Linked DNA regions of Tamandua tetradactyla. The protein of the gene in region 1 interacts with the protein of each later gene in a pairwise test. Links are inferred from orthologs where the notes say so. Each region holds a gene or a part of one and is shown on either strand. Other genes may lie near its edges.

Evidence for each region.
Region 2: the proteins of VIM (region 1) and fatty acid-binding protein, adipocyte interact in a two-hybrid assay, tested with the Homo sapiens proteins (2 studies listed by BioGRID and IntAct). The link is inferred for Tamandua tetradactyla from reciprocal best matches to the Homo sapiens genes VIM and FABP4.

What each region holds. Positions count from the first base shown.
Region 1 is NC_135327.1:231,910,530-231,918,872, forward strand, and holds the start of VIM (vimentin), read left to right. Parts: upstream 1-4,857; 5' UTR 4,858-4,935; coding exon 4,936-5,495; intron 5,496-5,860; coding exon 5,861-5,921; intron 5,922-8,235; coding exon 8,236-8,331; intron 8,332-8,343. UniProt on the Homo sapiens protein: Vimentins are class-III intermediate filaments found in various non-epithelial cells, especially mesenchymal cells. Vimentin is attached to the nucleus, endoplasmic reticulum, and mitochondria, either laterally or terminally.
Region 2 is NC_135332.1:125,327,042-125,334,931, forward strand, and holds the start of fatty acid-binding protein, adipocyte, read right to left. Parts: upstream 3,520-7,890; 5' UTR 3,423-3,519; coding exon 3,350-3,422; intron 782-3,349; coding exon 609-781; intron 1-608.

The sequences.
Region 1 (8,343 bases):
TGTAGGACTTGATCTGGGCATGGTGGGGTGGAGGCATGAAGCGGTGGGTTGGGGGGTGAGCGGCAGAGCCCCATGGGGGCTGCACGATGGAGAACCCAGAAGCAGCGATGGCATTTCCAGCGAGGTTGGCTGGCTGCCCTGCCCTGGTAGCGGGGAAGCAGGCATGGTGGTGGGGTTCAGGCGGGCAATGGGCTCGGTTCTCTTTTGGCTATTGTTCTAGTTTGCTAGCTGCCGGAATGCAACACACCAGAGACAGACTGGCTTTTAATAAAAGGGATTTATTTTGTTAGTTCTTCAGAGGAAAGGCAGCTAACTTTCAACTGCTGTTCTTTCTTACGTGGGAAGGCACAGGGCGATCTCTGCTGGCCTTCTCTCCCGGCCTCTGGGTTCCAACAACTTTCCCGGGGTGATTCCTTTCTGCATCTCCAAAGGCCTGAGCTGAGCTCTGAGTGCTGAGATGAGGTATGCTGAGCTGCTTGGGTTGTGCTGCGTTGCGTCTCCCATTTAAGCACCAGCCAATTAAGTCAAACATCATTCATTGCAGCAGGCACGCCTCCTAGCCGACTGCAGATATAATCAGGAACAGGTGAGGTTCACATACAACTGGCTCATGTCCACAGCAACAGAACTAGGTGCCTTCATCTGGCCAAGTTGACACCTGACTCTAACTATCACAGTTATGATGCCCTGGAAGGAGGGGAAGGAACATAGGGGAAAACGTGCAACTCCCAGGTGAGAGAAGGATTCTGAGCTCCTGTTCCTCACCGAATGAAGGGGAGCCCTAGAGTCAGGGGCTCGCCAAGCTCTTCCAGGAACCTGCATCTCCACAGGTGCTAAAGGCCCTTTCCTCTGCAGCTCCTGGAGCCTGATTAATATCTGTGAGCTACACTGGCTGACAGCGGACAAGGTTCAGTCACGGACCAGGAGAATAGGCACGCACATTCGGGGACACAAAGGCCCCCCTTCGCCACCCCTACCCCAGCGACCCCACCTGAAAGACGGTGTCAGCTCCACCTCACAGGTGCTGCAAGGGCCCCCTCTTACCTTCAACATAAGCAAAGCCCCCCGACACCCAGGTTATTGTACTGCCGCCCCCAACACCCAGGTTATTGTACCACCCCCCCCAACACCCAGGTTATTGTACCGCCCCCTCCCCCCGGCGCCCTGCCTCCTCAGCTGTGCAAGCCTGCCTGCCCCCTTCCCCTCCTGCCTGCCCCCTTCCCCTCTTGCCCGTCCTGACACCCCACCCCCACTGCTGTCCTGGGTCCTACCAGCTTCTCCAAGCCCGGGGCGCAGCTCCCATCTGCCACCGGCTGGTAAGTCGGTGCAAATAACTGAACTCGGCAGACAGGGCCACAGCCTGCAAATCCCAAATCCTGCGCGGCACCTGGGGTCAGCAGGGTGGCCTGGCCTGCACCCCTGGGGCCTGGCTAGGGCACTGCCCACACTGCAGATGCAGATGGCAAAGAGCTCAGCGTTTACAGAGCACCTGAGGTGGGTTTTCACAGAGTCAAAAAATAAACACAACTGAGAACACTGTGTCTGCGCTGCCAGCTTCCAAGAGGCCCTGAAGACGCAGGGAGGAGGCAGCGAGGGCGCCAGCTCCGGCCACCGCCCCTCCCTGACGCCTGTCTCCCAGCCTCAGTAACACCCAGCTGGCACTGGGCTCACCTCAGAGGGAACGCCATTCTTTCCAAAGTCTCAGGCATTGCACACATCTGCACACATATGTGAATACACACAAATGTGCACGTACATATATACATATATACATACATATAAACAAACACACTTATTTATATGCACATATTTGGATACACAGAGGCAACATGCCTACATACATATGGACACATTCACACATATACACACATACAAATACACAAAACATGCATGTATGCATATACATAATTATACATACATGTATACATATACATGTAAACACATACATTATAAGTGTACATATGCATAAACACAGATATACACACATTTACACAAACGGACACATATATGCATACACACAAACAGCATATACATTATACACATGTATATATGTATACATACACATATTGTCATGCACACTTACATACACATGCACGCATACACATATGTATCTATACACCTAGACGTACAAACACCCATGTACATACAAACAATACAAAAATGCATAATATACACACAAACATATACATTTAAGCATGCATACATATATTTATACACACACGAACACACAACACATTATACAAACATGCACACATATACATACATACATATACACAGAAACACATGAATATACATAGATACACATGCTATGCACAAATACACACATGCACACCTAAAATCACACATATACACACATGCATATATAAACACACTGTACACACACGTCATATACACTCATATAGAGACAGTTACACAGGTGTGTTTATATACATGTATGCATGCACATGCATATACAATATATGCACATATAGACACACCCCCCCACACACACACAGGTGTGTATACATGAGGCGAGTGAGCTCGTCAGTCCTGGCAAGAGTAGACTACCCCAGGCCTGAGGATACAGCAAGAGGGCACGTTTGCAGGAGAAGGGAGACATCCTGACGCCGAGGGGGGCAGAGTCCCACCGGGAGGAAGACACGCTGCCCCACCCCCGCAGGCCCAGACCCCCCTTCCGAGTGAGGCCCTGGACTGCTCTCTGTAGAGCCCACAAGCCGAGGCATCGCTCAGGCCGAGGCTTCCAGGGACTCACAATGGGGACCTTTGCTGAGCTGGGCCTGAACAGAGGCTCTTAGAGAGCAAGGCGAGGGCGGAGCCCAGGAATGTCCCCCACGGATCCCAGCCCCTGCAGCAGCGGCCTTGCCCACTGCCCCCGGGATGGGGAGTCCGGCCAGGGCAGGGAAACACTTCCAAAAGGAGGCTGTCCCTAGGCCAAATAAACCCTGCATTCGGCCCTAAGCCGCCTCCCTAAATGCCAGGTGCCGGCCAGGACCCAAGAGCGAGGGCTGGATGCTGCCCCTGCCCAGGCGGGTCTGAAGTCAGCCCTCTGGACTCCCCCAGAAAGCACGTCTCCAGGGCCCCATCACGGGAAGGCCGCTCCCTGCTGGGTCCCTTCCTGTGTGGCCTGGTCTCGCTGTAGCTGACAGGGAGACAGCAGCCCCTGGAGGTGAGTGGAGCACCCAGAAAGGGGGCAGTGGTGGCCCTGTGTACGCCTGCCGCCCCCACTCCTCTCGGCCAGGCCCCGCGGAGCTGGGGCACGTCCAGCAAAGTCCCAGGAGCCAGCGTGCGCGCTCGGTCCTGACATGAACACACCAGCCTGCTCCCCAGCCTTCCGTCAGCGGCCTTTGGCCAGGCTCATTCATCAGACTGGGGATTCCAAGCGACACCCAGTAATTCCCGCTTTGGCTCGGATTGTGCCTTTAAGGCCTTCGGTGGAGGCAGCAGCGCCAGGGGCCCTCTGCGAGATTGTGAAACCGCGGGCGGGGTTTCCTCTTTTACCCAGAACTTTCAGATCTTTCTAAAAGCCGGGCGTGGCGCCCTGGGGGAGTGGGGACGGCGCGGGCGGCCGGAGGGGGCTGGGCCTGCACGGGGCGGACCGAGTCGCGCGCGCCGAAGGGCCTTTCCGGTGAGAAGCGCGCGCGGCCGGGTCCGCTCAGGCCCTGGCGAGTTCTTAAGAACTTCGGGGCGCCCCTGTGCCCCGCAACAGCGCGGCGGCGGCCTTCTAAGTTGGCGAAGACCTAGGACAAAGCGCGAGTCCGCCTCGTCTAACGGTCTCCCGCGAACCGCTAGGCGCCCTCCCCCCGGGGACCGCAGGCGCCCTGAGTCACCCACCGCCGTGACTCAGCCACCGCGCCCCGTCCCCCGGCTTTCCTTGGCCGCCGGACCCAGCCCTCGGGTCCCGGACGGGACCCCCGAGACAGGAGGTCGAACGGGGCAGGCCCGCGCGCTCCCAGCCCAGTGGGTCAGGCGCGGGGGCGGGGGAGGGGAGCGAGACCAAGGTCCCGGTCCCGCCGCGCGCCCACCCTGCGCTCCAATCTCGGCGTTCTTTGTGTCACCCTTGCACCTCCCTCAGGCGGGGCCCTCACGCCCCACCCCGGTCACCGAGTTCCTAGCGCCCCCCGCGGCCCCTCCCGACCCTGGGCGCGGCTCCCGGCCCTTCTCCTCCAGCCACGGAGGGTTCCTCCCCCGCTCCTACCCCGCGCCCCCTCCCCATCCCTGGGCGCCGCACCCCAAATCCCTTTCCTCCAGCCCTGGGCGGATCCCCACCCTTCGCTCTCCACCAATCCAAGACTGTGGAGCGCGGTTCGAGGCCTCTCTTCTCTAGCGGAGGCGGGTCCCCGCTCCGCGCCCCCCACCCTCCTGAATGGGCGCGGCGCCGAGCCCCTCTCCTCCAGCTACGAGAAGACCCCTCCCCCGCGCCCCTCACCCCCGACCCTGGGCGCCGCGCCCCCAACCCCTCTCCTCCCGTCCCGGCGGCCCTTTCCCCGCGCCCCCCTGAGCACGGCGCGGGCCCCCTCTCCTCCAGCTCTCGGCGGGTACCTCCCGCTCAGCCCCGCTTGCTACCCGCACGCCCCTCCCCCGGCCCTGGGCGCCTCACGGGGCCCCTCTCCCCCACTCCGGGCGGGTCCCCCTCGCCCAGTGCCCCGCCTTTACCAGCCCCGGGGCTGAGCAGAGCCAGCCCAGGAAGCCCCGACAGTGCCTGCCCCGCCCCAGAAGTAACGGGACTGCCGGGCCGGACGGAAGGGGGGGACCCCGCGGGCGCCCCCCTCCTCTCCTTCGGAAGGTCCCATTGGCTGGCGCTTGCGCCGCGGCCGCCGAGAGGAGGGGGCCCTGCCTCCCTGCGCGGATAAAAGCCGCGCCCGGACTCCGGGCGTCCTCTGCCGTTCCCGCTCCGGTCCTGCGCTCGCGCCCCGCCGTCCGCCACCCGCCGCAGCCATGTCCACCCGCTCCGTGTCCTCCTCGTCCTACCGCAGGATGTTTGGCGGCCCCGGCACCGCGAGCCGCCCCAGCTCGAGCCGCAGCTACGTGACCACGTCCACGCGCACCTACAGCCTGGGCAGCGCCCTGCGCCCCAGCACCAGCCGCAGCCTCTACGGCGCGTCCCCCGGCGCCTACACAACGCGCACCTCCGCCGTGCGCGTGCGGAGCGCCGGGTCGGGCCCGCGGCTCCTGCACGACGCCGTGGACTTCTCGCTGGCCGACGCCATCAACACCGAGTTCAGGAACACGCGCACCAACGAGAAGGTGGAGCTGCAGGAGCTCAACGACCGCTTCGCCAACTACATCGACAAGGTGCGCTTCCTGGAGCAGCAGAACAAGATCCTGCTGGCCGAGCTCGAGCAGCTCAAAGGCCAGGGCAAGTCGCGCCTGGGCGACCTCTACGAGGAGGAGATGCGCGAGCTGCGCCGCCAGCTGGACCAGGTCACCAACGACAAGGCGCGCGTCGAGGTGGAGCGCGACAACCTGGCTGAGGACATCCAGCGACTGCGGGAGAAGTGAGGAGGGAGCCGCGGGGCCGGGGGGGGTGGGCGGGGCCGCCAGAGGGACCTGGTCGCGCGCTGGCCCCGGGGGCGGAGGGGCGGGCCCCGCCCTACCTCGGGACCTGGCGGGGAGCATTTCCCCTCGGCCCACGCAGTGCCCAAATGGCAGGTTTCTAAGCCTGCCGCCCGGGCTGCGCTGAGAGGCCCTGGGAAAGAGCAGAGGGATACGCCCGCGCTTGGGGGAAGGCTCCCGGCCCCGGGCGGACTGCCAGCTGCGCCCCGGCAGACCGAGGGGGCGGCAGCCGCGACGTGGGAGCTGGGTGTGGCCGTGCGGCCCCGCGCGCTCCGCGTCGCCTTGGGGTAACGGGCGCCTCTTTCAGGTTGCAGGACGAGATGATTCAGAGGGAGGAAGCCGAGAGCACCCTGCAGTCGTTCCGACAGGTGTGTGACCTACCCGCGCGCGCGCGTGCGTTGCCCCGGCCCCACCCAAGCGGCCCGCGGGCTGGCCTCGAGGTCGGCGAGCCTCGGTCCCAGGGGTGCGGAGCCTCCGGCCCAGCGCAGAGACCGCGTCTCGGGCCCAAACCCCGCGGCGACTTTCCTGGGGACGGTGGGAAAAAGGCTTTGGCTTTTTTAAACTTTGTTTCAAGGTTTTTTTTCCCAAAAAATAAGCCCGTTTCACTTTTGTAACACATTGGCATTCCGCCTTTGAACAGTTACAGTTTGACTTAGCTTGCGGTTTGCTACGGTGGAGTTGGCTAACTCATACAAGGTCACAAAAAGCAGTGAGGCTCAGAGTAGTTTAAATTGTAAAATGAGTTGCAGGATAAGAAACTTAGGCTAGTTGGAATCAAGCCAGCCAGTTTCTTTTCTTTTCTGCAAGTTCCACTGTGGCATTAAAGTTAGAAGTCCAGCCCTGCCCAGGACTTTGTGATCTAATAAGGGGGAAAGGGGCCATCTGGCCCCTTGCTGGAAGGGAATTAATGGTTTCTATGGGATTCACTATGGAATGCAGATACAGACGTTCTGGCAAATGTGGTGGCGCTGGGCAGACATAATGGCAGTCTTTGTGCTCCCCGCAGGGCTGTGCAGCAGGCGGCATTCTTATTCAGTCTGTCATGATGTAAGCAGAGCTCTCATTGGACACAAGTATTTGCTAACATCTTCACATCCGTTATCTAATATCTGGCCCAGGCTTGGGAAGTACGTGATGGGAACAGCTCTTAAAGCCACAGGGCACCTTGGACTGGCCTCTCAACTGCCCTCGTGGGTAAAGAAGATGCGAGGGCCAAAGAGCTGAACTTTAAGTAGAGGTTTTTGGGTTTTTTTCCTACAAATCTTAGCTCACTCAAAGGATTTTAAACTTACAATAGAAAGCAGGAAGGTTTCGCAGTGTAGATTTCTTCTCTCGCGCACTTACTGTACTGGCTGTAAAAGCACTTAGGTGTACAGTTGAGGATAACATCTTGAAGCTGAAAGACATTTGCCACATTAATTTAAATGCAGCAATGTGTGGTTCGCTTGAGTCACTAAGTATTTAAGATTATGTAATGTAGCGTGCAGGGCACTGAGTTAATAGAAAGCAGCTTTCATGTAAAAGGGCCTCTGTTTAGGGATGAGGCAAAGTTCCTTGCATTCTCTTCAAGGAAGCAGCTAACATGTTGAGCATTTTGAGAGGTTAGTAAAATGATTTTAAATCTTTTTAAGGGCTTAGTAGCAAGCAAAATGAATTTTTTTTCCAAATCTGATGTTTTTATTATTACCCATTCTTCACTTACTTTCCTGTGAGAGGGATGCAGATGAGATGGGGTCAGACTGCACGACAGATGTAAATTGCTCACAAGATAAGAGGTTTAGAAATCCTGGGACACTCACTTCAGAGGAAGTACAGTCTTAATTGAATGGGCTCTGATGTGGAATGTAGCAGCTTACAGAGGGTGGCAACACAGGAGGATAGTGAGGTGAGCAAGAGTCCTTGCAGGGCCTCGTGGTGGCGGGGATTGTAACGGGTCACTATGATAAAGGCAAGTGACAGAACTGACCGAGTCAGGGAGGGGGCCACACCCACCAGCCGGGTCACAAGGCTAGTCTCCCCAGGAAGGCACAGCACACATGGTCACCTTTGTTTCGGTATTTGCTGGAGCCGCATCTTTGCACACCCTAGATGTATCTAGTTGCTGCTTGATTGAAACCTGGCTGGTGATGTGGCTGCCAGGTGGTGATACCTACGGATAATTTCCGGACAATCTGAGAAGAGTAAAAGACAGCTTGGTATGCATCGACACTTTGGGAGCATGAGTTTCTGTTTTACATGCACTCATGTATAAATGAAGTTTTGCAACCCAGTTGGGCCTGTCCTGCCTGTATTCCCTTACGCTACGGGACACACATGCACACACTTTTAAAACACTGTGGCATTAACTTTTTATATTTAAGAAGGAAATTTAAAACATCACTGGTAGTATCTTTATCTCATAATAATTGACCTAGTGCAGTTTGCCATGTTGATATAGGTTAATTTATTTAAAAATTGTCTATTGGCCAAACTTGACACAGCATATGGGACCACAACTCACATTTATTAATGAAGAGAAGAAAGCATACACAGCACTAAGATTTACAAACTCGGTCAGGGGTCATGGAATTTCTCAATCCCCTTCTCGGGCGGCCAGCTGCAGTGCCTGGGGTTAAATGAACGCTTGAGCCATGCCTTAGATTCCAGCACGTCCACGTCTGTTCTTTTCTCTCTTCAAAACAGGACGTTGACAACGCTTCCTTGGCGCGCCTCGACCTCGAGCGCAAAGTCGAGACCTTGCAGGAAGAGATTGTCTTCTTGAAGAAGATTCACGACGAGGTGAGGGGAGCC
Region 2 (7,890 bases), on another chromosome or scaffold:
AGAATACAAGATGCAGTACCTTTGTTCAAAAGAATATTTGGAGATCATTAGAAATTCTAAATGATAAGAACATACTGCAAAATAAAAAAAAATGAGTGTAGAAAGCAAACAAATACATTATGACTAGACTCGTAAACAAACATGCACTTAGAAAAAAACTGATGGAATGCAGATAATTGATAGATTTATGTTGAAATAGTATTGTGGATGTTTTTCTTTCTGTTTTTTTTCCCTCCCTTCTACTTTTTTCAAACATTCTCCAATATTGTTATGTTACTTAAATTCACTTTAAATACTCTGCGTAAGGTATATAGTAATAAAATTTTTTTTTTTTTTTTTTGCATGGGCAGCACCAGGAATCGAACCTGGGTCTCCGGCAAGGCAGGCGAGAATTCTGCCACTGAGCCACTGTTATAGTGCCCGGTCATAATTTTTTAATACAAAAACTTCATAAAAAGGGGTGAAAATCACCAACTACATATCAGAGGCAACAGGGTTTAGATCTAGGACCTCAGAGATTTCTGGCCTTTAATGAAATCATTTTCTTCCTTTATTACAAAATGACTTCTTGCAGGCGGTGATCATTCAGAAACCGGGAATTTACTTACTTTGACTTTCCTGTCATCTGCAGTGACTTCATCAAATTCCTCACCCAGTTTGAAAGAAATCTCAGTATTTTTAAAGGTACTTTCTGATTTAATGGTGATCACATCCTCGTTCACGCTGATGAGCACGTTGGGTTTGGCCATTCCAGCCACTTTCCTGGTGGCAAAGCCCACCCCTACAGTTAGGACAAAAAAATATCAGTCACAGTCTCTCTCACATCTTTATCTAAGTCAGAGAGCTGTACTCTGCGTGTGTGTGTGTGTGTGTGTGTGTGTGTGTGTGTGTGTGTTTAAAGAAAGGAAAAGGTGCCAGTGCGTTTCTGGAAAGCCTTATCTGAACAGTTGCTGCAAGGTAAGTAAAAGTCAGTCAAGGTCAAGGTCAATACTTGAGTCACAATATGTGTAGGTCCATTATTTAAACTTCGCCTTTCTCTGGTTCTGGGTATAATACTTTAGGATATCTATTTTTAATTGTTAATAAGAATATGTTCAAAGGTTTAGTCTTCTGAAATTAAAAAATAAAAAAATCACAGTACCCTCAAATAACTGGCTATCTCAATCCATTAGGGAAACCTCTATAATTTTACTCAATTCATGAGATGCTTCAAATTTGTCTTCTTAGATAATGAAAATGACCAAATCCACAGTCAAAGAATTCTCAACAGAACTTTTTGGGGGTTAATAAACAGTTATTCAGTTCTCTTTTGAGTTTACAAGAATCACAATTTCATGGTATTTCCTGCCAGTCTAGTTTTTTTGCTTACTATTCCAACTACTGCTGCTATAAAATGATGGTTTTGATTAATTTCTCTGAAAAGTAAAATGTTTCCCATATTCATACCATTTTAGAATGGTGATACCATTTCCAATAAGCTATAAGAATTACTACAGAGGGATAAGCATCAATTGTAAACACTTCAAAATTTAAGAAACCACTCATTTGATAAGTTTAGAAACCAATAGTTTCATTCTCAGTCATGTAACTTGGAAACTCTTCTTTTGTTTCTTTTTTTTAAATTAAGAGAAATATACTTTTCTTGTGTTCGATATGGGTTGCAGGACTTACAACCTAAATTACAGTGGAAATTCAATATGTTATGCAGAATTCATGTCATAGGAGTGTTGAATTTTTTAACATGTTCATAATATAAGCTGCTTCTTTGACTTAAGTCTACTTAGCAGTGTCAAAGATTAAATGTGGGGATCTTGGATAGAAATAATGGGGCAAAACAAGTGATTCTGAGGCTCTGATTTAGTTCCCCATCTGAAAAGTAGCCACAGGTGGAAGAAAATAAGTTGCATCATGAGGACCTGGCTCTGTTACAAAATGTTAACATCAAATATATGGAACGAGTTAGTTCATTGAATACTGTGCTTGAAGTCTGGCAACATAGAGCATAATTCTGGGATGGTCTACTTTGGAAAAATCATATTCTCCACTTGTTTGTTTCTGTCCTTATTTGATGAAGGTAATACCTCCTGTCTACTCACTCTTAATTAGAGTAGCTTTAGGCTTACCTGTTTTCAGAAAGTATCTTATTGCATTTTGATTATTATTGGTACTTTATAATGTAGAAACGGTGTTATAGGAATTTAAATGTTAATATTAAATGTACAGAATGTTTTCAAAAGTAAATATCTAAATGTCTTCAAATCTTGACATTACCATATCGGCACATATTAGTTTATTGGGTTGAAGCTAGTTGGTAGTCTAGAAAACAGGGTTTCTCTCAAGCTGAAGTCCCTGATTTTCTCCTTGTCTATAAACAAGAAAAATAGAAATTACAGACAAGCAAGAAAACTATACTACATAAGTTAGGAGGGGGGTAATCTTTTGAGGTTTAGAGATTACGTGCTAAATGCCACTTAAAATATCGTGTGAAGACATTTCCCCACCCCCCCACCGCCCACAATTTGCTGCAACCCCAGGGTCAGACTTGATTAAGCACAGAAGTTTAGAGAGGGGAGCTTTCAAAATTGGAGCTGCCTGAGTGAGAAATCTCCTTCCTACTTGCTTGCTTTACCTCCATAATTATTTGGGGAACATTCGCACAACTCACTGGTAACATTAACAGAATCTAAAAAATTGAAAGCCTCCATTATCAAACAGGAGATATGTAACGGATATAAACATTCGCCTTTTGAATTATTTAATCGTTCTATAGCATTCCCTATAATTTCTAATCAAATAACTATTTAAGTACTTTAAAAAACAAATTCTCTGAAATTAAGATTTTGACTCCCATAATACAACCACACATTTTAATGGCTTGACAGTCAAACGACATAAACATACATCTACTTTAAAAAAAAAGCATCTTCATTAAGATGGAAAATACAGTACTTTCAGATTCAAATGGAAATTATTAAAGCTAGGAAATAAATCTGACTTTACGTCTTAGCTAATGCTAATTTCATTTGCAAGAGAAGATGAAAGAAAAACAGGCAATGAGCCAAGTAAACCAAAGACACCCAAGTTTAGCAATTAAAATAAAAGTTTGTCACTTCTGTCAGCCATAAAAATTCCATTTAGATCCTTTTGCATGTTGATTCATATTTAGGAAATATTGCTTATCCCTTTGGTCCAGATATTTCTAGAAACAAATGATTCTTACTTACTACTGAATAACCTGTATATAGGAAGTGGCATTTTCATATCTGGCCAGAATAAAAAACACAGCCATAAACCCTTTCCCTTAGAGAAAAAGTTATAAACCCAGTTATTACATAGCACATTTGCTTACCCACTTCTTTCATGTAATCATCAAAGTTTTCACTGGAGACAAGTTTCCAGGTGCCTACAAATGCATCACACATTTTGTGAGCTTTGTCTGATTATTCTTCAAGGTGAGATACAAACGGCAGCTTTTGGGAAGGTGCTATTATCCTGCTGAGTCCAGATAACTTCCTTTTAAGTGTGCCCAAAACATGTGATCTTAGGAGTGGCCAATTGGGGATGATATTAGAACATTTCCTTCATTACTAGCCTCTGCATTTTTCCCTCTGAGTCATATTTTTAATAGAAATTTTTCAACTTTGGCTCTCCCTGGCAAATGGTCATTGTACTTAGAGTTCAAATTACTTTTAAGCATGAGCAGAAGACTTTAACATTTCTGCTTTGAAAGCTCAATGATCAATGCATTAAATCTCTCCCTACTATTTTCATCCCAACTGGGGGCAGCTAATTAGCTTGGGATGAACTTTGACCCAATTTACTTGTGTTTTTATTAAAAATGCAATTATATGGTATTTCTTTGAATTGAGGAACACGAGAACAATCTTGGAGATTCCTTTTCTTTTAAATTAAAAAATATTTTTTAAACATAACAACATACAAATATGAACATTCTTACCATATAACCATTCCATTCTTGGTATACAATCAATAACTCACAATATCATCACATAGTTGTATATTCATCACCATGATAATTTCTTAGAACATTTGCATCCATTCAGAAAAAGATATAAAAAGGAAAAAGAAAAAAACTCATGTACACCATATCCCTTACCCTTCCCTCTCATTGACAGCTAGTATTTCCATCTACCCAATATATTTTAGCCTTTGTTTCCCCTATTTTTTTCTATACCCCTTACCACTCCCTTTCATTTAAATCCACTAAAATTATTTTAACATTTGTTCCCCCTATTATTTATTTATTTTTAATCCATATGTTTTATTCATTTGTCCATATTATAGATAAAAGGAGCATCAGACACAAGGTTTTCACAATCATACAGTCACATTGTGAAAGCTATATCCTTATACAAACATCTTCAAGAAACATGGCTACTGGAACACAGTTCTACATTTTCAGACAGTTCCCTCCAGCCTCTCTGTTATACCTTAACTAACAAGGTAATATCTATTTAATGCGTAAGAATAACCTCCAGGATAACCTCTTGACTCTGTTTGGAATCTCTCAGCCATTGACACTTTATTTAGTCTCATTTCGCTCTTCCTCCTTTTAGTCGAGAAGATTTTCTCAATCCCTTGATGCTGAGTCTCAGCTCATTCTAGGATTTCTGTTCCACGTTGCCAGGAAGGTTTATAACCTGGGAGTCATGTCCCACATAGAGAGGGAGAGGGGCAGGCTAGTGAGTTTGCTTGTCGTGTTGGCTGAAAGAGAGAGAGGCCACATCTGAGCAACAAAAGAGGTTCTTTGGGTGACTCTTAGGCCTAATTTTAAGTAGGCCTAGTCTATTCTTTGCGGGGATAAGTTTCATGTGAACAAACCCCAAGATTGAGGACTTGGCCTATTGCTTTAGTTGTCCACACTGATTGTGAGAATATCAGGAATTCTCCTCATAGAGAAGTTGAATTTTCCCCCTTTCTCACCATTTCCCCAAGGGGACTTTGCAAATACTTTTTTATTCACTGTTCAAATCACTCTGGGGTTTATCGGGGCATCACTTGACAAACCATCAAAATCTCATGCCCTACTCAAGGTTCCATGTACTTATGGTGTTCAATTAAACAGTCCACATAAGTTATATTAGGAAATGCATTAGTCAAAATATAAATTTTGGGGCTGGTGATGGCAGCAGAGTGGCAGAGCTCTTTCCTACCATGCCGGAGACCTGGGTTTGATTCCCATGCCTGCCAATCAAAATAAATAAATAAATATTGTACTAAATAAACATTTTTTGCTTTAGTCTCACACATAAGCTAAAATTTTAAAATATGAATTACCATCTATTTTCAACAAGCTGCAATATTGACATTCCTTTGTTCTTCCTCATGAAAAGACGTTTTTAAATTTGTACATTTAGTCACTATCATTGTACACTCTAGGCATTCCTAGATTATACCGTTTCAGTCTTTATCATCTACCTTTCCTTCTGATTTCATTTGTGCCCCCAGCCTTCCTCCCTCTATCATTCTCACATTCAGCCTCATTCAGTGTACTAGCATTATTGTATTACAGTTAGGTAGTATTGTGTTGTCCATTTCTAAATTTTTACAATCAGTCCTGTTGCACAATCTATATCCCTTCAGCTCCAATTACAAAATATCCTATTACAAAATATCCACCTATTTCTATCTCCTCATGGTCTCTGTTCTTAACTGAAATTCTCCAAGTTTATTCATTAATGTTAGTCCATATTAGTGAGACCATACAGTATTTGTCCTTTTGTTTCTGGCTATTCTCACTCACCATAATGTCCTCAAGATCCATCCATGTTGTTATATACTTCATAGCTTTATTCTGTCTCAGAGCTGTGTAAAATTCCATCGTATGTATATACCACAGCTTGTTTCGCCACTCATCTGTTGATGGACATTTGGGCAGTTTCTATCTCTTGGCAATTGTAAATAATGCTGCTATAAAGATTGGTGTGCAAATGTTCATTTGTGTCCTTGCCCTCATGTCCTCTGAGTAGATACCTAGCAATGGTATTGCCGGATCATATGGCAATTCTATACTTAGCTTCCTGAGGAAACACCAATCTGCCTTCACAGCGGTTGGATCATTTGACAGTCCCACCAAAAATGGATAAGTGTGCCTCTTTCTCCACATCCTCTCCAGCACTTGTCATTTTCTGTTTTATTGATAATGGTCATTCTGGTGGCCGTGGGTGCGGCCATTCTGGTGGGTGTGAGATGATATCGCATTGTGATTTTGATTTGCATTTCCCTAATAGGCAGCGAAGTTGAGCATCTTTTCATGTGCCTTTTGGCCATTTGTATTTCCTCTTCTGAGAAGTGTCTGTTCATGTCTTTTGCTCATTTTGTAATTGGGTTGTTTGTCTTTTTGTTGTTGAGTTGAACAATCTCTTTATATATTCTGGTTACTAGACTCATATCTGAAATATCATTTCCAAATATTGTCTCCCATTGTATAGGCTGTCTTTTTACCTTCTCAACAAAGTTCTTCAATGCACAAAAGTGTTTAATTTTGAGGAGTTCCCATTTATTATTTATTTCTTCAATGTTTGTGCTTTGGGTGTAAGGTCTAGGAAACCGCCTCCTATTAAAAGATTTATAAGATATTTCCCTACATTTTCTTCTAAAAGTTTTATGGTCTTAGATCTAACATTTAGGTCTTTGATCTAACATTTAGGTCTTTGATCCATTTTGAGTCAATTTTTGTATAGAGTGTGAGATATGGATCCTCTTTCATTATTTTGCATGTGGATATCCAGTTTTCTAAGTACCATTTATTGAAGAGACTGTTCTGTCCCAGGTGAGTTGGCTTGACTGCCTTATCAAAAATCAATTGTCCATAGATGAAAGGGTCTATATCTGAACACTTTATTCTATTCCATTTGTCAGTATATCTATCTTTATGCCAGTACCATGTTGTTTTGACTGCTATACCTTCATAATACGCCTTCAAGTCAGGTAGTGTGAGACCTCTGACTTCATTTTTCTTTCTCAGGATATTTTTAGCTATTTGGGGCACCCTGCCTGTATTATTTAGGGTTCTCTAGAGAAACAGAATCAACAGGGAATATTCATAAATATAAAATTTATATAAGTGCCTCATGTAACCGTGGCAATGTAGAGTCCAAAATCTGTAGGACAGGCTGTGAAGCTGAGGACTCTGATGGAAGGTCTGGATGAACTCCACAGAAGAGGCTCACTAGCCAAAGCAGGAAGAGAGCCTGTGTCTTCTGAATCCTCCTTAAAAGGTTTCCAGTGATTAGATTAAGCATCACTTATTAAAGAAGACACTCCCCTTGGCTGATTACAAATGGAATCAGCTGTGGATGTAGCTTACGGGATCATGATTTAATGCTATGAAATGTCCTCACAGCAAAAGACAGACCAGTACTTGCCCAACCAGACAAACAGGTACCACCACCTGGCCAAGTTGACACATGAATCTGACCATGACACTGCCCTTCCAGATAAATTTGTTTTTTTTTCTTTCTATTTCTGAAAAGTAAGTTTTGGGGATTTTAATTGGTATTGCATTGACTCTATAAATCAATTTAGGTAGAATTGACATCTTAACTATATTTAGTCTTCCCTTCCATTTATTTAGGTCTTCTGTGATTTCTTTTTAGCAATTTCTTGCAGTTTTCTTTGTATAGCTCTTTTGTATCCTCAGTTAAATTTATTCTTAAATATTTTATTCTTTTGGTTGCAATTGTAAACGGAATTTTTTTCTTGATTTCCCCCTCAGATTGTTCATTACTAGTGTATAGAAACACTACAGATTTTTGAGTGTTGATCTTGCAACCTGCCACTTTGCTGTATTCATTTATCAGCTTTGATAGTTTTGCTGTGTATTTTTCAGGATTTTGACATATAGTACCATATCATCTCCAAATAGTG